Yarrowia lipolytica: one gene and its partners. The protein of the gene in region 1 interacts with the protein of each later gene in a pairwise test. Links are inferred from orthologs where the notes say so. Each region holds a gene or a part of one and is shown on either strand. Other genes may lie near its edges.

Evidence for each region.
Region 2: the proteins of YALI1_E20269g (region 1) and YALI1_E17069g interact in binary tests that used the Saccharomyces cerevisiae proteins (3 or more experiments, as listed by UniProt). The link is inferred for Yarrowia lipolytica from reciprocal best matches to the Saccharomyces cerevisiae genes SEC23 and SFB3.
Region 3: the proteins of YALI1_E20269g (region 1) and YALI1_E35988g interact in binary tests that used the Saccharomyces cerevisiae proteins (3 or more experiments, as listed by UniProt). The link is inferred for Yarrowia lipolytica from reciprocal best matches to the Saccharomyces cerevisiae genes SEC23 and SEC31.

What each region holds. Positions count from the first base shown.
Region 1 is NC_090774.1:2,022,806-2,029,098, reverse strand, and holds YALI1_E20269g (uncharacterized protein), read left to right. Parts: upstream 1-2,222; coding exon 2,223-4,583; downstream 4,584-6,293. Other genes in the region: YALI1_E20279g (uncharacterized protein), read right to left, coding at 1-1,216; YALI1_E20229g (uncharacterized protein), read right to left, coding at 4,988-6,157. UniProt on the Saccharomyces cerevisiae protein: Component of the coat protein complex II (COPII) which promotes the formation of transport vesicles from the endoplasmic reticulum (ER).
Region 2 is NC_090774.1:1,704,271-1,710,883, forward strand, and holds YALI1_E17069g (uncharacterized protein), read left to right. Parts: upstream 1-2,655; coding exon 2,656-5,376; downstream 5,377-6,613. Other genes in the region: YALI1_E17065g (uncharacterized protein), read right to left, coding at 567-2,207; YALI1_E17100g (uncharacterized protein), read left to right, coding at 5,774-5,806. UniProt on the Saccharomyces cerevisiae protein: Component of the COPII coat, that covers ER-derived vesicles involved in transport from the endoplasmic reticulum to the Golgi apparatus.
Region 3 is NC_090774.1:3,595,994-3,603,538, forward strand, and holds YALI1_E35988g (uncharacterized protein), read left to right. Parts: upstream 1-2,870; coding exon 2,871-6,425; downstream 6,426-7,545. Other genes in the region: YALI1_E35963g (60S ribosomal protein eL36), read right to left, coding at 67-353, 694-709; YALI1_E35971g (uncharacterized protein), read left to right, coding at 1,125-1,180, 1,328-1,493; YALI1_E35982g (uncharacterized protein), read right to left, coding at 1,645-2,229; YALI1_E36036g (uncharacterized protein), read right to left, coding at 6,692-7,545. UniProt on the Saccharomyces cerevisiae protein: Component of the coat protein complex II (COPII) which promotes the formation of transport vesicles from the endoplasmic reticulum (ER).

The DNA of each region.
Region 1 (6,293 bases):
CTCCTCCGTCATGTTCCAGGCGAAGCATGGCCCAAGTAAGGTCGGAAATGCACACGGTCATTCCAAGCGCATACACCAGCGTGATGGCGTAGAAGAAGTTTGCGTTTCCTGAGCCCAGGTAGATCCACATGTGGAAGAAGGTGGGCAGCAGCACCGAAGAGTATAGCAGCGCCAGAAAAGCCGGAATGGGGTACCTCAGAAGCGGGAAAAGCGGTCTGAAGAAGGGCACCAGCGAGAAGAAGATGCCCACATCGGCAGTATCGGGGTAGGCCTTGAACAGGGCCACCAGACCGAGATAGAGAGTGATGGCAAACAGAGGGAAGCTGCTGAATCTAAGAGTGATGGGGGCGGCGTAGAGAAAGACGTGGATTTGGAACACTCCGGTGAAGAAGGGCTGAAAGAAGTCAAACATCTCCGTGAAAAAGTACCACCACAAGCCAATGTTAGGAGTGAGGTCTCTACCAGTAAGAATAGTACCATAGACAGCTCCTAGGAAGTTCCAGGATCCAGCAATGGCCTGGGACAGCAGCAGGATAGCTGCGGTGTAAGAAGCCGACAGCAGGCAGAACCGGAAGCCGTACTGGGCCTTGTTTGTTCTGAGTGGCGTTCCGCTGTTTCCATGGAGCAGGAGAGACACAAGAGGAGCCAGGTAGATGGGGTAATATGAAAGGTTAGTGGCCAATGCAAGAGAGGCGGCTGCAGTCAGAAAGTGGCCGTGGGTGGCAGCGGCCAGGGTGTAGCAGATGGCAGCGTTGTTGAACACAGCTGTGGATTTAGCTGCCGACGACAGAAACAGCAGGGGGTTGAAGAGGTAGATTGCTGCGATGATCCAAGGAGCAAACGGCAGCGGCTCTTTTGTATCTTTCTTCTTGAAGACGTATTTGATGGTGGTGGCGGCTCTCTGGGCGGTTTGAGCGAGGGCCCATGCCGCCGTCAGGTCCGCCAGCACGTATAGAATGTTGATTGCGATGGTTTCGGGCACGATTTTCGACACGGCCGACACTGCGCCGAGCAGCAGTGGCGACTGGTGGAAGATTCCGCCGTCGTAGGGATCGATTCCTTGCTTGTAGAGATACAGGCCCTCCTGGAGTCGTTTGAAGGAGGTGACGGGCGTGGAGATTTCCACATGGCCATCTAGAGTTGCGGGCACGGACGGGAATAGGTGGTAGACCACTATCCGAGCAATTGCTCCACAGGCGAGAGTGGCGACTTCCATCGTTGAGAATCCTGCCGTGGGTGTCTTTCTGTGGGTTTGACAGACGTGCGGTATTGACAATGTGTGTCTCTTGTTCTTGTCTTGTATGCACAAGTTTGTACTGTACGTGAATTAGGTGTGGAGGAAGTTACAGTAAGTGTGTACGTAAGACGTGTTAGTTGGGGTGAGGAGGTCTGAATGTGGGCAGTTGGGTGGCGCTAGACAGGATGATTTTTGGCCCTGAATAATCATCGTGCATCTGCATTCCAATTTCCGCATTACATTCGTCTTGTCGTTACCAAAATATTCCCTATATATAGACCCTCCATTCCCACTCTTGTCGTTGTCACACATTCTCCCACCACTCATTTAGGTTCGGACGTGAATGTCCCACCTGTTACCAACGACCTGGCATTTTCAACATTGAGTTCACTTTGCTTAGGTGGCCTATTCGACACAACAATCAAATGGTGAGTGTGACAAGGCGACGCGATGGGCGATGCTGGCGAACTGGGTTGATTTGATGACACAAACCGATGGCCGACACATGGCTCCGTGTCTCTTGCAAACCGACCAATCGAATCCCTTAGTGTGGGGTTGATCGCCAATATGAAAAGACACGGGGGATGGATTTGATGAGCAACAAAAGACACAGAAGAGATGGTGTGACACAGACGAAAGCAATGTGATTAGGACCTCTGGATGACGTGATCTTTGCGCCAGTGTTGCACTATTGAATCAGCCATTTTATCAACCGACTAGGACAGGTATTCGTGTGCCCGTTACACGGTGTTTAGTACAAACATTGATGTGGCAGTTTGTGACAATGTTACAATTGTGTGACAAGTATACTGATTGTTTCTGTGTCAGCAGCTTGGAGCTGGTACGCTACGCTGTGTTTGTGTCCATGTGCTTTTCGTGGCCTACCTAACATCACGTAACGGTGTCAGCTTGGCGCGCTGTTGTGTCGTGATTGCAACTACAGCTACTTGCTTCCGCTTGGATCCAGGTGGTGTCTTCCACTGCGATGGCAAGTGACACGCATGGTCACGTCGCGCGTCGTCCTCGACCTGCGGCTACTCCCGTTACCCGTTTCCGTTTCGTACTAACCCAGGACTTTGAAGAATTCGAAGAGAAGGACGGAGTGCGATTCTCCTGGAATTGCATTCCCTCTACCCGAATTGAGGCTTCCAGAACCGTCGTTCCCATCTCGGCTCTGTACACTCCTCTGAAGGAGAAGCCCAACCTCCCCGTACTGCAGTATGAGCCCATTGCATGCCGACCCCCCTGTCGAGCTGTGCTCAACTCCTTCTGCCAGGTTGATCTGCGAGCCCGAGCCTGGGTCTGTCCTTTCTGTCTGTCTAGAAACCAGCTGCCTCCTCAGTACCGAGACATTACTCCCGAAAACTTGCCCCACGAGCTGCGACCCGAGTGCACCACTGTTGAGTACGTTCTGTCCCGACCTGCTCCCAACCCCATCTTCCTGTTTGTGGTTGACACCTGTCTGGACGCCGAGAACCTGACTGCTCTCAAGGATCACCTTGTGGCCACTCTTTCTCTGATCCCCGAGAACGCTCTCGTCGGTCTCATCACCTTTGGCGCCATGGCTCAGGTCCACGAGATTGGCTACCGAGAGTGCGGCAAGAGCTTCGTCTTCCGAGGTAACCGAGATTACACTGCGAAGCAGGTGCAGGAACAGCTGGGTCTCAACCAGCCTATTGGTCACCGAGTCCCCCAACAGGGAGGACATCCCCAGGCCCAGGGAGCCGCTGCCCGGTTCCTCCTGCCTCTGCAGAACGCCGAGTTCGCCCTCACCAACGTTCTGGAGGGTCTGCAGAAGGACCCCTGGCCCGTGGCTGCCGACCGACGACCCATCCGATGTACCGGTGTGGCTCTCGGAATTGCTCTCGGCCTGCTGGAGACTTCCTTTCCCAACTGCGGTGCACGAGTCATGCTGTTTGCTGGTGGTGCCCCCACTGAGGGTCCTGGTATGATTGTGGGTCCCGAGCTCAAGGAGCCCATCCGATCTCACCACGAAATTGAAAAGGACACAGCCAAGCACTCCAAGGCTGCCACAAAGTTCTACGAGGGTCTGGCCAAGCGAGCCACCACCCATGGCCAGGCCGTTGACATTTTCGCCGGTTGTTACGACCAGATTGGTATGCACGAGATGCGATCTCTGCCCAACTCCACCGGTGGAGCTCTTGTGCTCTGCGATGCCTTCTCCACATCCATCTTCAAGTCCTCGCTGACCAAGATGTTTGCCCGAGACGCCAACAACTTCCTCCAGATGGGTTTCAACGCCACCTTTGATGTCGTGCCCTCCAAGGAGCTCAAGGTATCTGGTCTGATTGGCCACGCCGTTTCAATGAACAAGAAGAACCCCAGTGTAGCTGACACCGAGATTGGTATTGGCCAGACTTCTTCGTGGAAGATGTGCTCCATCACTCCTGCTCACACCTACGCGACTTTCTTCGAAGTGGCCCAGCAGCAGGGCACTCCTGCAGGCCAGATCCCCCCTGGATACGTGCAGTTCCTGACGCATTACCACCACTCGTCCACTCAGCAACGTCTTCGTGTGACCACTGTTGCCAAGGCTCTTGTGCCCGGTGGCGATCCCCACATTGCCAGCTCCTTTGACCAGGAGGCTGCTGCTGTGCTTATGACTCGAATTGCCATTTTCAAGTCCGAGACCGAGGACGGCAACGACATTATGCGATGGACCGACAAGATGCTGATCCGTCTATGCCAAAAGTTTGCTGACTACAGAAAAGACGACGCGTCTTCGTTCCGACTCGCCCACAACTTCTCGCTGTACCCCCAGTTTATGTTCCATCTACGACGATCGCAGTTCCTGCAGGTGTTCAACAACTCGCCCGATGAGACTGCCTTCTACCGACACTGCCTGAACCGAGAGAATCTCAACAACTCGCTTATCATGATCCAGCCCACCCTGCTGTCGTACTCTCTGGAGCAGGAGCAGCCCGTGCCTGTACTGCTGGATTCGGTGTCCATCAAGCCCGATCACATTCTGCTGCTGGACACCTTTTTCCACATTCTCATTTTCCACGGAGAAACCATTGCCAACTGGCGAAACCAGGGCTACCAAGAAAAGGAGGAGTACGCCAACTTTGCTGAGCTTCTGCAGGCCCCTCGAATGGAGGTCCAGGACTTGCTGGTTGACCGATTCCCTTTGCCTCGATTCATTGACACTGATGCTGGAGGTTCCCAGGCCCGTTTCTTGCTGTCCAAGCTCAATCCCTCCAACACCCACCAGAGCGACAGTGGCTACGGCACTCCTGGCAGCGCCGTGGTGCTTACTGACGATGTGTCTCTGCAGACTTTCATGTCTCATCTTCAGAAGTTGTCTGTGGCTGCCTCCTCTTAGGGTTAAGTAATGTTGTAAGATTAATTTGTATTGTTGGATTGTCGAGCTGGGAGTTATACAGTGGTGTCTTCTATACACTGTATTGTCTCAAGTACACCACTCCCTTGCATGCGACCCCGTATCTGGCGTTAGTGAGACATGGTTGTACGATACAGTGGAATATATGTTCTTTGGAGCTAAAAAGTTTCAAGGAGGCACTGTATGAGCTGTGCGAGTGGGGTGATGATATGATATCGCGATAGCTGTGTAGATGCAATGTAATTACTCCTTGAATTGACTCAATTAAATGTAATAAATAGTATATAGAATGAAGGAATGAAGCATATAAACAAAACCAATCCACATTATAAATATATGTTAGTGCTCTCTCTCTCTCTCTTTCTCGTTCTGTATCTCACTGTTTCCTAATGTCCTTCGAAGTCCGGTGAAGAGTGGTACTCTGGAGACGAAAAGTCGGGAGAGGTATGTGCATAATCATAGTGTTCCATCTGGATCGGTTGTTCGACCTTTCGGGGTCGGCCCTTTTTGCCTGGCGATGGCTTGGGTTGGCCAGGTACCTCGATGCCTCCAGAGCAGATCTGTCGGGCTCTGTGTCGGTTGAGGGCGTCTGGTCGATTGAAGCCCTTTCCGCAGGGACAAATGTGGGGCTTGACTACGGCGTGGGTGCGCTCGTGTCTCTTGAGATCGTGCTGTCTGACGAAGGAGGCTTCACAGGACGAGCACGAGTACGGTCTGTCTGCAAGGTGTGTCTGGATGTGCGAACAGAGGTTGTATCGTCGTCCAAACTTCTTGCCACAGCCCGGGTACAGACACAGAAACTTGCCGTCTTCGCAGGGCCCATGAATGAACGACTCGAGTTTTCCGGGGGGTAGGCCGGACTTTCGAGGCTGAGGCTGGTTGGAGACCTTTTGCTGTTCGATGATCTGCTCTGTTTCTGTGTTTTCGGGGATGGTGACGACGGGCAGCCACGAGATTCCGAGTCCGTACTCGTCAAAGGGTTCTCCAAGGGGTCCCTCGGGAGAGGAGTGGTCATGGGGAGACTCGTAGTTGTTCCAGTTGTCCATTTCAGGAGAAGTGAAGCCTGGCTCGGGAGACAGGTAGGCCAGAGCGTCGGCATCGTAGTTGAGCTGGGGAGGGTTCAGGAAGGGGTTCTGCTGAAGATGGGACGAGTGAGCATGGCCAAACTCGGCAGCCGGAGGGTGGGACGAGTGAGGCGGAGACATGGCTCCCATCAGCGACATGGTGGGGGGCTGCTGGAGGAAAATGTCCGATTGTGAGGGGTCATTGAGCGGCTTGGTGGGACTGGGGGTGGTGGAGGAGAAGTTGAGCAGTCGCGAGAACCGCGCCAGGGTGTCGGGACTCACATTGTTGGTCTGTGTAGGCATCATCTGGGGGGTAGACGGAGGCTCCAGCTCGTTGTAGCCAATGTCCAGGTAGTTGACATCGTACTGTGATCCTTGGTGGGGATGGTGCGGTTGGGCCGACGACTGCTGGTTCTGATGCTGCTGTGAATGATGCTCCTTCTTCATATGAAGACTCTGCTGCGACTGCAGAAAGTCATAGTCGAAGTTCATTGTGGAGTGTGAATGTGTATCAAGGTGATGGAGGTGATCTGGAGATTGACTGTGTGTGAAGTGATGCGAATTTCTGTAGATGGAGGACCCCTGCCCGCAAGGATTTGACTGTCTGTGGTTCTAGAGCTGTACAATC
Region 2 (6,613 bases), about 320 kb from region 1:
TGGTAATTTTGCCGGCAATTATACTTTGAGATTCTGAGCCTCGCTTCCCAAACGGGGTTTGTTAGTACACGCACCCTCTGAACTAACGAACTAAGGGGCAAATGGTGATAATTGGTCAGACGGTACACTGGAAGCAAAATAGCCGTCAAGAGAGCCTGGGGTTACATGCAACGCATATACGGCGTTGGAAACACCGAAAACACATGTTTGGAACACCCGCAACCCGCTCCAAGTCAACTAATCTATGCCTCCTACAGTCACCCTACCGCGTCTCGTATATCGTCGTCTAAGCACGACATACTCTACAGTGCCCAGTGTATACTCTACTGCAAAAGCCCCGGTGCACCGGTTCACCAGCAGAAATCAAGGCTAGGGAGTCTCTTGGGGCTGCCATCGTTGGGGGAGGAAATCAGATTGCTATTTCAGACTGCAATCAACGTCGGGCCCTTGTAATTGGACCATGTAAATTAGTTAAATATCGGGCGCAGCAAGCCCGTGGGATTATCAGCGCTTGCTGCTGTAATGCTGCATGGTCAACTAGAACCCTGAAGCTTAGTACTTGTAGGTTAGTTGGCCTTGTAAGCAAATCTCATGAGATTGCTTTGAGACGAGCCAGGAACACGCTGCACGGTCAGAGGAGAAATGGCGCTCTTCTTGGGACGCGCTTGCGGTGTGGAACTGGGCGTGATTGTGGGCGTGATTGTGGGCTTTTTGGCAACACCAGAGGAGCCTGTAGGAGTCACTACTCGACGCTTGGGCGTAGAGGCATTGTATCCAAACTCCTCAAACAGAGTAGACTTCCGCTTGGCACAAGTCACAGGTGTCTGCGGTAGCGTGGTGTCTTTGTTTGGGGTGCCAAACACGATGCTGCTTTCTTCAATGTCATCGTCGCTTCGGTCAGGCTCTGAACTCAACATGGTATTGAAGTTGAAGGGCTTGTTCTCCTTCTCAGCCTGATCGGGACTCGAAGGGATGGAGAAAAAGTGACTGGAAGTAAGCGCGGGGGACGTCTTCGTTCGGGTTGGACTCAACATGTTCTCCGCAGAAGCTGTTCGCACAGCCAGGTCAACCGGCTTTGCCACCAGAACAACGGGCTTCTTGCGGCGCAGCTGTTCGGGAAGTCGCTTGACATCGCCTGTGTACTCATTTTTGGGCGCAAAGAATCCCCGTAGATCGGTAGGCTTGGCTGTCTTGTTGGCAGGAAAAGTCTTATGAGTTCGAGGGTGCACCAGTCCAGTGGCTATTGCTCGCGCCAGACCTTGTGGAATCTCGGCGCCAATGTGAAAGTCGACCTTTTCGTCCAGCTCATCTTCAGGCTCATTCAAATGTACCAGCCTACGAGCCTCGGGGCAGTAGACTCGTTGGTAGAGAAATGTAAAGTTGGCAGCATGGAATCGTTCTAAAAAGTCGGGTGAGGAGTTGTATCCGTCCATACGAAGAGCCTTAATGATAGCCTCGGGAGTTTGCCATCGTCGAATGTACCGAGCAGCTCGTTTAGGACCCACGTTCGGCACTCCATCGCAATAGTCACAGCCAGATAGAATAGCCATGTATCTCAGGTACTCCAGAGGAACCTCAGAGCCGAGTTCGAGATCTGAGCAGCTGGAGATTCGGGATCCATCAACTGTGACGCATCCTCCACTCGGGTCCAGCTTTGTGACCAGCATCTGTGCTCCGTAGACCACAAGATCTGAGTCTTCCGAAATGATGCCTGTGGCGTAACCTGCCTTCTCCAGGTACACCAGCTGGGCGTCTGCTTCGTAGGGTGCAACCACAAAAGGAATACGTTGACTCTTGAGCAGTTCTGTCAGTTGGTGGACCATTTCCTGTGTGATTCTGGTGGCTTTTTGGAAAAGGTTGACAGCTTCGGATCTTCGTCCTCGAGACATCAATGCAAGGGCTTCCTTGTGGGCCTGGTCACGTAGTGCGTGTCGTTTCTCGTCGGTCCCACGCTTGGAAGGCAGTGCTCCTCCATCAAAGACAATTAGCACGTCCACTCCACACCGTTTCAGAAACTCCACTTTGCGCATGACCCACTGTTGGGGTCGATCTGTCGGCCTGTTGAGAGCCAGGTCTTCGGCGCTTCCAAACGCGGCCTTGTGTAACCATGCAAACCCGTCCACTGCCAGTCGCTGGCCCTTGAACTCGGAAATGTGAGCTGCCGCCTGGATCGGCTTGAGCAGGGGTAGTAGTCCAGACACTCCCATGTCGAGTGTGTGTGTGTGTGGGGAGGTGCGAAGGAGGGAAGGAGAGAGGTAGGTTGGGGAGGTGGTGTTCGTGTCGGTTGTGTTTCTCCGCTTGTGTCGTTAGTCGTCGGTCGTTAGGTCACCTCTTGCTCGTTTCTTTTCGTCTTATTTCTTTCCTTTTTGTGGTATCAAGTCGTGTGTAACTTGTTGTGTCTACTGTAATACATTGTAAATCGCGACGCGTTCAGTAACTGCACATTTATTAGACTCTTTCACTAATAAGCCCTAAAAAAATAAAATATAAAATAAAATAAAACAGAGTCCCAACACCAACACCAACACCACTGCGTGCACGACCCACGACTCGAATCTAAGTTAACAGCCAGCACACATGCAAGCGGTGTGAAAGTGTGTTCGTCATCAGCTTGCCTGGGAAAAGAAAAAAAAAGATAACACACTGCAACACGCCATGGCTTCGAAAAAAAGATCGGCCAGAGCCTTCCACGACCTCGGTGCAGACCCCAATGCGCCCAATGGCAACCCCCTGATGTCGCCGGACCTCTCACAGCCCATGTACGGGGTTCCTCCTGCCGGCCAAGTTGCAGCTGATTCTCCCTACGGAGGAGCCCAGTTCGGTTACGAGGCCCACAATCCAGCCATTCCTCATGGACAACCTGCCTACGGTCATGCTGCCTCCCCTGCTGTGTCTCATGGAGCCCCTCTGGCCCATTCTTTTGCTCAGATGAGCCTGAACGCCTCGGAACAGGAGGGGTTCGGCCACGACGCAGCAAACCCTTCTCTGGAGCGTGGCAACCAAGGAATTCCTTCGCTGGCAGCTCGACGAAACGATGCGCGAGAATACACCGCTCGAAAACCCGTGTTCAAAACGTTTCAGAACACCCTACCCCCTCCTGCCACCGCCGAATATCTCTGTGAGGATCAGGGAGTGTCTGCTCCTCCCTTTTGTCGTCTCTCCATGTACAACGTGCCAGTTTCCGATCAGCTGCGGTCTCTGACTAAGCTGCCCCTCGGTATGGTGGTCAAGCCCTTTGCTGAACGAGACGTTCCCGTGGCCGACTTCTCGCAGATCGAGCCCTTCCGATGTCGACGATGCATGGCCTTCATTAACCCGCAGTTCCTGTTCTCTAACGGCGGATCTCGAGCCGTCTGTAACATGTGCCAGTTCCCCAATGCAGTTCCCGGAGAGTACTTCCAGCCCACCGACCACAACGGAGCTCGAGTCGATGTCGCCGAACGAGCTGAGCTGTTTGCTGGCACCTACGACATGGTCGTTCCCGACTCTTACTACCCCGAGGGAGACTCTCGAGAGCCCGTCAAGCACCTGTTTGTCATTGATGTGTCGGACGAGGCTATCAAGAAGGAGCTGCCCTCTCTGGCTGCCGAGGCTATCAGAAAAGCCCTTGATGAGGACGATACCCCCAAGAAGATTGGTATCATCACCTTCGACCACGCTCTGCAGTTCTACAATCTGAATGCGGATCTGGAGAAACCCCATATGGTCGTTTCTAATGATCTAAAGGACCCCTTTGTGCCCTTTGAGGACGGTCTGTTTGTGGACGCCCAGGAGTCGCGGCATGTGATTGAAGATCTGCTCCCCCGGCTGCAGTCCATGTTTGAGGGCTACAAGTACGCCGAGTCTGCCTTTGGAGCAGCTGTTTCCACTGCCCACAAGGTGCTGTCTGCGTTTGGAGGAGGAAAGGCCCATCTGGTTCTCGGATCAACCCCTACCTGGGGTCCTGGAAGTGTTTTCCCTAACAACCTCGAAAATCGAAAAACTGCGTCCAAGGAGCCCAAGAACTTTGACTGCAAGGACCCTTTCTACACCGAGCTGGCGGGCAAGTACGCCAAGGACGGCGTGGGTCTGGATGTGTTTGTCATGCCCAGCAGTGTCACTGATCTGGTCACTCTAGGCTATATTTCTGCCAAGTCTGGCGGAACCACCAAGCATTACCCAAACTTTGTGCCCATTCGAGACGGCAAGCGGTTCATGGCTGACTTGGCCCACTCCGTGACTTCTCTTCGAGCTTGTGGAGCCAAGCTCAAGGTCCGATGCTCCACGGGTCTGCAGGTTGCCGCCTATTACGGCAGCTTCCACTCCGACGACTGGCATATTGAGCCCGATGTGGGATCTGTCGACTCCGACAGCACTTACGGCATTCTGTTTTCGTACGACGGAAAGCTCGACACCAAGCTGGATGCCCACTTTCAGACTTCGCTGCTGTATAAGCATCTGGACGGTACTCGACGTCTGCGAGTTATTAACGTGCTTGCTGGAGTCACCGAGCAGTTCAAGCCTGCAATTAACTTTGTCGATGCCGATGCTTGCTTCTCCATCATGGCCCGAAACCTGTTTTCCAAGGTCACCTCCACCACTCTCAAGGAGGCTCGGTTTGGTCTCAATGAGCGACTGGTGGAAGTGTTTGCCTCTTACCGAAAGAACACCACCGAGGTTCTCCCTGCTACACAACTGCTCCTACCCACTTCTCTGCGACCTCTGCTGATCCAGTCTCTTGCGCTGCTCAAGTCTCCTCTTCTGCGAGACACTGTGACTTCTCTGGACAGACGAATCCAGTACCTGCGAGAAGCCAACAACAGCGACGTGGACAAGTTTTCTTACATGCTCTACCCTTACCTTTTCGCTCTGCATAACATGCGAGAGATTGACGGAAGTGCTATTGAGAACGGCCATTTTGTTCTGCCCGATTCTCTGGCTCCCTCTCTGGCCTCTCTGGAGGAAGGTGGTGCATACATGCTCTTCAACGGCGAGAAGCTTTATTTATGGCTTCCCAGTACTGTTTCTCCCCAGCTGCTTAACGATCTGTTTGGTGAGGACAACAACATCACCCGGGACCTGGACCCTTATATGAACTCCATTCCCGAGGTCGACAGCCACATCAACAAGCAGGTTCGAGCTCTAGTGGCCCACTTTGAGGGTCTTCTGGGCATCAGCCATCTCAACGTTCAGCTGTGTCGACCCAACCTGGATGGTGCTGAGATGGAGTTCCAGTCTCTGCTGGTGGAGGACCGAAACATGGGCGAGTACGCCTACACGGACTTCGTGTCTCACATTCACCGACACGTCAAGTTGATGATGGAGAACAGCAGCATGAAGATGACTAGCAAGACGCTTTTGAATGATGCCATCGGATACAGGGAGGCTGGCTTGTGATGAAGAGAAGGCAGAAGAAGGTACCGGTACCAGGTGGAGGAGGAAGAAAGAACGAGGATATAATACTGTTAATAGAGTGAGTTATTAGGAGAGGGCTGTGTATGGAATGGGTGCTGTAGGGGAGGGGTTGTTGACAGGACCCAGTATGATAGCTAAAGTAGTCATCCATCTTCCACCGTTTCTTTGTCATCCACGATATATCATGATGTTGTCATGCACCTGAACTCTATATGTGTTGATATATGTAATTTGCCAAACTAAAACTTTTCCATTGAACATTCTTTGATCTCTTGTGAGGAGGTAAGTATGAACGCTACGGCGCGTGAACACGGCTTGGACGGGATTTTTGGACAGCTACTAACCCAGGCTTGTATTTTTATCCCCCGTTTGTATTATTATGAACTACAACAACGACGATTCTGAGGATCGAGTGAGTACCACCACCCCGCGACACTACCAGATTCAACGACACAAACCCCCCCTTCAGGGACGACGCGTTTGAGAGATGGACCGAGATGGAGAGAGGAGGAGGATGGACGGACCTGGCCCTTTACCGCGTGCTGGATGCTGGATATGGGACCAAGCAAGCGGCGAGACCATCGGCGGTGTGATGATGGGGCGACCGGAATGGGGCGTGCGGAAAACAATCAACAAGGAGGCAGAAGACGACGGTGATAATACTTGTGGGGATCTACTATTGGGGGCTGGGGATGGATCTACTTATTTTGGCTGATGACTACTACTTCTTGTTCGATATGTGATGGCAAGCGAAAAAAACGGCGGGCATGGCATGGCATGGCATGGCAAGGCGCACTCTATCTCTTTTGTGGGAGGCACCCATATTACGGACGAACACACGAACGGCTGGCGGGAAAGATGGACAGCAAAAAAACAAAAGGATAGGCTACAGAGACGCATGTGTGCGTCACATCCTTCTTGTTGTTTTTTTGGTCTCGTGGGTATCACATGTCCCTGTGACGGACGGGTGCTTTTGAGGCATGTCTCTCCTCTCTATTGTGTGAGCGAGTGTCCTGTCCTCGTGTGTGTGGGTCTTCTGTGTGTGTCCCGTGATATATAGGACCTCTACGTGACATGTCACATTAGAAGGCTGTTCGATCCCTGCCCTCGTCGTTTTCTGCTGCCATTTTCTGTCGTCGACCATTTTCTATCGTCGACCCGGCCGGTTGTCTTGCTCCCTTGCTTTCCGTGTTCGGTCACGGTTGCAGCTTGGGCATGC
Region 3 (7,545 bases), about 1.6 Mb from region 1:
ACTCCACAGTAAAAATCAAACATTTTTGGGTGTATTTCCATACTTTTAATACATATGCTAGCTAATTTAGGCGTGTCGAGAAGCGGTGATGACGTTGTTCATGTCCTCAACCTTAGCCTTAGCACGGCCGAAAGTACCGAGCTTCTTCTTAGCGAGCTTTCGAGCTCGCTTATCACTGGAGTTTCGCAGCAACTCAATGATTCGTCGCTCGTAAGGAGCCTGGCCGGTAACCTCCTTTACGAGGTCTCGGACAAAAGCGGATCGCTTAGAGAGGGCACCCTTTCGTCGAGAAACTCGAGTGGCGGGGGTTCGGGCAGTGACCTTGTGGCCCTTGTTGGGTCCAATAGCGATTCCTTATGTTAGTTTTGATTTTGTGGTTGTCTCGTCAACAATGTGCTCGTAGACACTGACCTGGATGAATTACTGAGTGACTAACCAGTGTGGACGAACAGAGTGGGCAACGAACCAACAACAAATGCCAATCCATCATCCAGAAAGCCGCGACATATCTTCCTTCAAACATCTTGGTGGTACTGACAGTTGTTGTGTCGCCACTCTGAGTGAGTGGTCCTCACATGACCTTTGCAATCACCAAATATGTTCTCTCGTCGACATCCTGTTCGTCAAATCACGTTCTCGTCCATCCGTCAATGCTGCTCGCTCCGTCTCCCATCGTCGTCTGTCATAACTTACCGGACTTGGTAGCCATTTTTGTATGTGTCGTGAAGTTGTACAAGAAAAGAAGACGAGAATATCAGGATGAGAAGTTTGCATGGTCCCAATCGGGGTGCGTGTAGAATTGAGAACGTAAGAGCTTATTTCCTGGTCTGAGTGGGTTTCCAAAAAGGAAGGCCGGGTAAAACTTAAAAGTCACGTGACTGCTGTCGAGATGATTTAATGTCAGTAAAATGTAAAAATTCATCATGTCATTAAGATGGTAAGATCACTGGTGTAATTTTCTGTTGCAAGACCATTTAGGGGCCTCGTTTTTCTATTCATTGGTGTTGTCATGTGGGTCTGTACTGGAAGCTTTCGGGCATGCATAATCGGACACTGACTTGACTTAGGTTCAGTATGGCTCGATAACTGCTCGATCCTACAGACTTCATACCACTTACACACAAATGCAGCCTGCTACTAAGAAGGAAGAATTTGAGGACGACGATGAACCTGATGCTTGGTGAGTGTTGCTTTGGCTGGGTGAGATTGAATTGGTTGTTTGAGTATGAGAGGGAGCCTCTGATCTTGGCCATCCTGTGATCATCCTGAGTCCAATACGCCAACTAACAGGATCCATGATCATTCAGGTCAACTGTAACTAACACAGGGACGCTCGCATCAATAAGACCGGGTGTGCTGATGAGAATATGGCTCTCACTGATTGCTACCAGGACACCAAGGATTGGCGAAAGTGCACTGACGAGATGAAGGCCTTTAAGGACTGTTGGGCAGCTCACAAGCAAGATGATCGAACCCAGACCAAGCAGATGTAGTGGTTGCAACCATTACTCTCGTCCTAACAATTGTACATAGCTAATAACCATTCTCCTGTATTGATGATTGAATATGGGTTCTTTTAAAATTAGTCTATCTATTGTACTTACTGTGGTGTACATACCATACACTCTGGCACACAGTCTATGCCTAGAAAGCAGCATCCGCATCAATGATTTTTCCCTCGGATAGAGACTCGGGCTCTTCCTGACCCCCAATAGCTTCTGACTTGATCTCGAGCTCGGCCTTGGGCTCAGCTTTTGCCACTCCAGCATCAGTAACTTTCACCTCAGGCTCAGGACCAGGTGTGGAGTCCTCAGGGGACTTTACATCAGTCTTGGGCTCTTCGGACGCCTTTACCGGCTTCTTAGCGTTTGCCTGCTTTCGCTTTTGCCTCCTTGCTCGATTTTTGTTGGTCTTCTCTGCATCCTTCTGCTGCTGTTCTTCCCTTCGTTTCAGAAACTCGTCACGCTCGGTATCCTTCTGAGCAGCTTCATTGATATACTTCAGTCGCTCGGCCTCCTTGTGTCTAGCGTGTTTATACACATGGAACTCTCCGGATCCTGCTCCTGCTGTAGATCCAGTAAAGGTGTAGATGACGTCTGGAGGAGGCGCCACTGATGGTGGGGGCGGTTTTGCTGTGGAAATTTCCTGTGTAGGGTTTGCTAGAAGTTTCTTGAGCTCCGATGCGTTTGCGTTGGTCTTTTTCTGTCCAGGCTTAGTGATCCTGGACATGTTAGTTGTTGATGTTTATAATGTTGAGGTTCGATCAAATATTTTGGACAGTTGGTTATCCTGCACCTTTAGCGTTCAGGTTATCTGTCTGTGGTTGAATGAAATGTACCAGAAGATGAGATGGGTGAGCTTAGATCACACTTTTTCAAGTAATATATATATAATATATATATTATCATGAAGTCACGTGCTTTATTGTCAACCATTGGTAAGGCGTCTACCTATACCCCCAATCCATAATCACATTCTCCAGCACCGTTGATGTATCCCTGCCTTGACTATCAAAAACCATGAATTACAGTAGCTACAGCAGCTGCACCATCTCACTCTCTGAAGTCTAAAAAGAACACGTCCAACTAACTGGGAACTGCAACTACCAGTGGAGGTAGTGGGCTAAATAAGCGCCACTAAACAGCCTTGAGAGGTGCGAATTTACAATTGAGACCGAATAAAAACACTTATAAACAACAATGCCATTGTCATAGCAGCAACCTATCTAGTTCCTTCCCCTAATCACCCTAACCTCGCAATCCCCCTCATCGTTGCTAACCTTCGAAAGCTCACTGTATGTACCCTAACCCTGGGCCACGTCACCTCACCTCCCACCTCGCGGCTTGATCCACGTTACACCACCACCAACAATGAAGCTCAAGGAAATTGACAGAACGGCCACCTTTGCGTGGTCGCCCAACAACTTGCGCATTGCTACCGGAACCGTGGCTGGTACCGTGGATGCTGACTTTTCGTCTTCATCTCAGCTGGAGATCTGGGACGTGGATCTCATGGACCGATCCTCCGAGGGATTCCGTCTTACCAAGCCCGCCGTGTCTATCTCTGCCGATACGCGTTTCCACGATCTCGTCTGGCACAACACCGGCAAGCACAGCCTGATCGTCGGAGCCACTGAGAGCGGCTCCCTCGAGGTGTGGGAGGCTGACAACATCAAAGACTCCTCCACGTCTGTGTCTGTCAAGGAGCACTCGGGCCCTATCAAGACCCTGCAATTCGACCCCCACAACCCCACCAGACTGGTTTCCGGAGGCACCAAGGGTGAGATCTTTGTGTGGGACTTGTCGGACCCCAAAAAGCCCATTGCAAAGAAGCTCGGCACCGACAACAAGGCCGGCGACATTGAGTCTTTGGCCTTCAACAACATCACCAGAAACATTCTCGCCACCTCATCGTCCAATGGTATCACCACCATCTGGAACGTGGACCAGAACAAGGAACTTACGCGTGTCAAGCACGACAAGCCTGTTTCCCACGTTGTCTGGCACCCCTCCAAACCCACCAAGCTGATCACAGCCGTGGCTGATGACGCCGAGCCTGTCATGCTCATCTGGGACCTCAAGAACGCAAATGCACCCGAGGGTGTGCTGCAAGGCCACTCCAAGGGTATCTTGTCTGTCGACTGGTGCCAGCTGGACCCCCGGTTCCTGCTGTCGTGTGGTAAGGATAACCGAACCCTGCTGTGGAACCCGGACACCCACGAGTGTCTCGGTGAGTACGGTGCTGCTCAGAACTGGACCTTCAAGACTAAGCTCAATGAACGAACCCCCGATCTGTTTGCTACCGCGTCGTTCGAGGGCAAGATTGTCATTCAGACTCTGCAGGACGTGAATGGAGGGGACGCTCCTGCCCAGGAGGGCGACTTTTTCCAAAACCTCGGCACCCAGTCGCAGGCCAAGATTTCGCTCAAGCAGGCCCCCTCATGGCTGCAGCGACCCGTGTCCAACTCGTTTGGATTCGGAGGAAAGATTGTCACTGTCACAACCACCGACGGCAAGAGTACTGTACAAGTTGGAAAGTTTGTGGGCGACAAGGTCGACACTGAAAGCATCGAGGTTGTTCTGAAGGGAGACCTAACCTCGGCATTTGACGAGGTCAAGGGCGCCGAGTGGAAGGTTCTCGAGGCTCTCAGCAAGGGCACTGACGAAGTCCGATCTTTCCTGGACATTCCCGTCATGAAGGAGGAGCCTGCCGTGGAGGATGACTCTGAAGATGTTTTCAGCAAGATGTCTCCTTCCGGTGCCTTCTCTCTAGAGTCTTCCGACCCCATCAATCAGGCCATCATCAACGGCAACCTCTCTACTGCCGTTGATCTGTGTCTTAAGGAGGACCGGCTTCTGGACGCCTTTGCTCTGGCTGAGAAGGCCTCTGATGCCGTCAAGACCAAGGTTCAGAACGCATACTTTGCTAAGCAGACCTCCAGCACTGCTCGACTTCTCAACGCTGTCAACACCAACAAGCTTGACGACGTCGTTGAGAACGCTAATCTCAAGGATTGGAAGGAAATTCTGGCTCTTCTATACACTTACGGCGGAGCTCAGTTTGGCGATCTGGCTGCTGCTCTTGGTGACCGACTTCGAGAGTCCGACCGAGACAATGCCGCCACCTGTTACCTTGTGTCTGGCAAGCTCGACAAGGTCTCTGGTCTGTGGGAGTCTGAGATCACTACACGAGAGAAGGAGCTGACCAAGGACAATGTGGCTCCTTACACTGCCCACTTCTCCGCTCTCAAGGAGTTCATCGAGAAGATCTCCGTCTTCCGAAAGGCTACCAACGCCGTGGACTCTGGAACTGTGGATGGTCTTTACAACAAGTACCGAGAGTTCGCCAACATTGTGGCTTCCCAGGGCAACCTGGAGCTTGCTCAGCAGTTCCTTGCTCTTCTGCCTGCATCCTTCGAGGGTGTTGGTCTTGAGCGAGAGCGACTCAACAAGGCTGCCAAGCCCTCCGTTGCCACCACTGCCACTAGCAAGGCCTCTGCCTACGGAAAGCCTTCTTATGGCAGTGCTACCCCCCAGGCTTCTGCTTACACGCCTACCGCTTCTGCCTATGGTTCCATGTATGCTCCTGCTGTCCCTGCCGCCGCTGCTCCTGCAGCCGCTGCTCCCCCACCCACTGCTGCTGCTGTGCCTCCTTCCCCTGCCAAGAACATGTACGCTCCCCAGCCTCCTGCTCCTGTCACTGGTTTCGCTCCTGCAGCTCAGTCTCCTGGAGCTCCCCAGCAAAACACACACAACCCCTACAACCCCACTCCTCAGACTAATGCTTATGCTCCTCAGGGTAACGCCTACAGTGCTGCTCCCCAGCAGAACACCTACGGAAGGTCTACTCCCGGCGGAGGTCCTGTTCGAACCACAGCTCCTCGTCACGACACTGCTGGCTACAATGATCTGCCTGCAGGTTCTGTCCCTCCCCCTAAGAAGTCAGCTCCTAGCCCGGGTCCTATCTCGTCTGCCTATGCTCCCCCCACCCCTGCTGCTCCCTCAGCTCCCCCTGCTGGTGGTCCCCGACCTCCCTCTGTGAATCGAGTCACCTCTCCCGGTGTGCCTAGCGGAGGTGTAAACGCCTATGGCTTCCCTATTGGAGGTGCACCCTCTCCTTATGGAGCCCAGGCTGCGTACGGAGCTCGACCCCCTGTGCCTGCCGTGGTGTCTCCTCCCCCTCCTAACCCCTACGCTCCTGCCCACTCGCCTGCTCAGAACAATGTCCAGCCTGCTGTTAACCCCTACGCTCCCGCCCCCGGCGCCGTGGTTTCTCCTCCTCCCGTACACGCTGGTATTGTGCCTCCTCCTGCTCAGCGATCTGCTCCCAGCAACCCCTACGCCCCTGCTCCTGGCGCCGGTGCTCCTCCTGCTAGCAACCCTTATGCCCCCCCTACTGGTGGCTTCACTGGAGCTCCTGCTCCTCACGCAGGTGGAGGCTACACTGCTCCTCCTCCTGCTCAGGTTGCTCCTCCTCCCGCTGGTCCTCCTCGAAACAGCGTGGCTCCTCCCCCCGGAGGCCCCGCTCGAAACCCAGTGCCTTCTTCGCCTGCTCCCCCACCTGCAGCCGCCAAGCACCCTGCAGGAGACCGAACACACATCCCTGCCACCTCGCGGCCCATCTTCGACACCCTGTCCACGCAGTGGGCTGGTCTGAAACCTCACATTCCTGAACAGTATTCGAAGCACGTGCGGGATGCTGAGAAGCGTCTCAACATTCTGTATGACCATCTGAACAACGACGACGCCCAGCCCGAGATGGTTGAGGATCTGCTGAAGCTGTCCAACGCCATTGCCCAGCGGGATTTCCCCACTGCCCAGGCTCTGCAGCTTCAAATTGCCACCGCTCGACCCGATGAGTGTGGCAAGTGGATGGTTGGTCTCAAGCGATTTGTTGAAATGGCTGCTGCCGTCAGGACTTGGTAGGATGTTATATGATAGTTAATGAATGTAGAATTAGAATGGTGTGTGGGTGTAGATGAGCAGACATGTCGAACACAGAGGTTGATTAACACCGTAACGGATGAACTCTTGAGTCGAGCGTTCATGAGATGAATTGTCCCGTCATATCATTCCTTTCCAGTTATATTTAGAACTGCAACACAGTATGTACTATCTTGTAGTACAAGTACATACTGAACAGTATATATAGAAGTGTACAGTCGTTATCCCGGTATTAAATTAATCTATTGTTAAAGAGTAAAATGCATGAAGCTTGCAACGATAATCAAACAGAAGGCCATGAGCATCTTGACCACGAGCATATCAGTCTGAGGAGCGGCACTCTTCGCCTTACCCTGACAGCCGTTGCATTGGAACTGGTCCATAGGCACATAAGGCTGGGGAGAGTAGATTCCAAACTGGTATCGGTTGAATGAGGCCAAGTAACCAGCACTGGCAACAGCATTCATATCCTCGTTAGCATCATATATGTAGAGCTGGTAGTTGGAGTTGATGAGAGGAGTGTCATCGGTGTTGTTGTCCGAGTACTGACTGGTGTCCCACACCACTGAGGTCTCCGTTGCACTCTGGTTGGCAGCAATGGTGTAGTAGTGCCTGTTCTGGGAACAGTATGCTTCAATATTGATTGCCGATGGAGTCACTGAGAGAGAGGTGTAGTTCCACACAAATGTGGCTTGCTCGCCGAGCTTGATGTAGGTGGAGGTGGTGGCCTCGGGGGTAAGCAAATCTACACCACCAGCAGGGAGTCGAGGGTCGATAGAGGTGGAGAACTTAGAAGTGGTCGAGGATTTGTCTTCTGTCTTGTCGCTAGATTTGTTGTCATTGTCGTTAGATTTGTTATCGTTATTGTCCTTGCTGTCCGACTTGTTGTTATCCTTGTCGTTGTTGTCGCCAGACTTGTTATCCGAGCCGTTCGTAGTCTTGGAATCGTCAGCGCTCTTGGTCGACGACTTGTCATCTTTTTGTGTGGCTGACGCACTCTGTTGTTGAGTCTTAGAGGCTTGCGACTGTGAGGATTTCTGCCCGGTGGTGGCTGTGGATTTGTCGTTGTTGTTGTTGTTGTTGTTATCACCGTCTGCTGCCA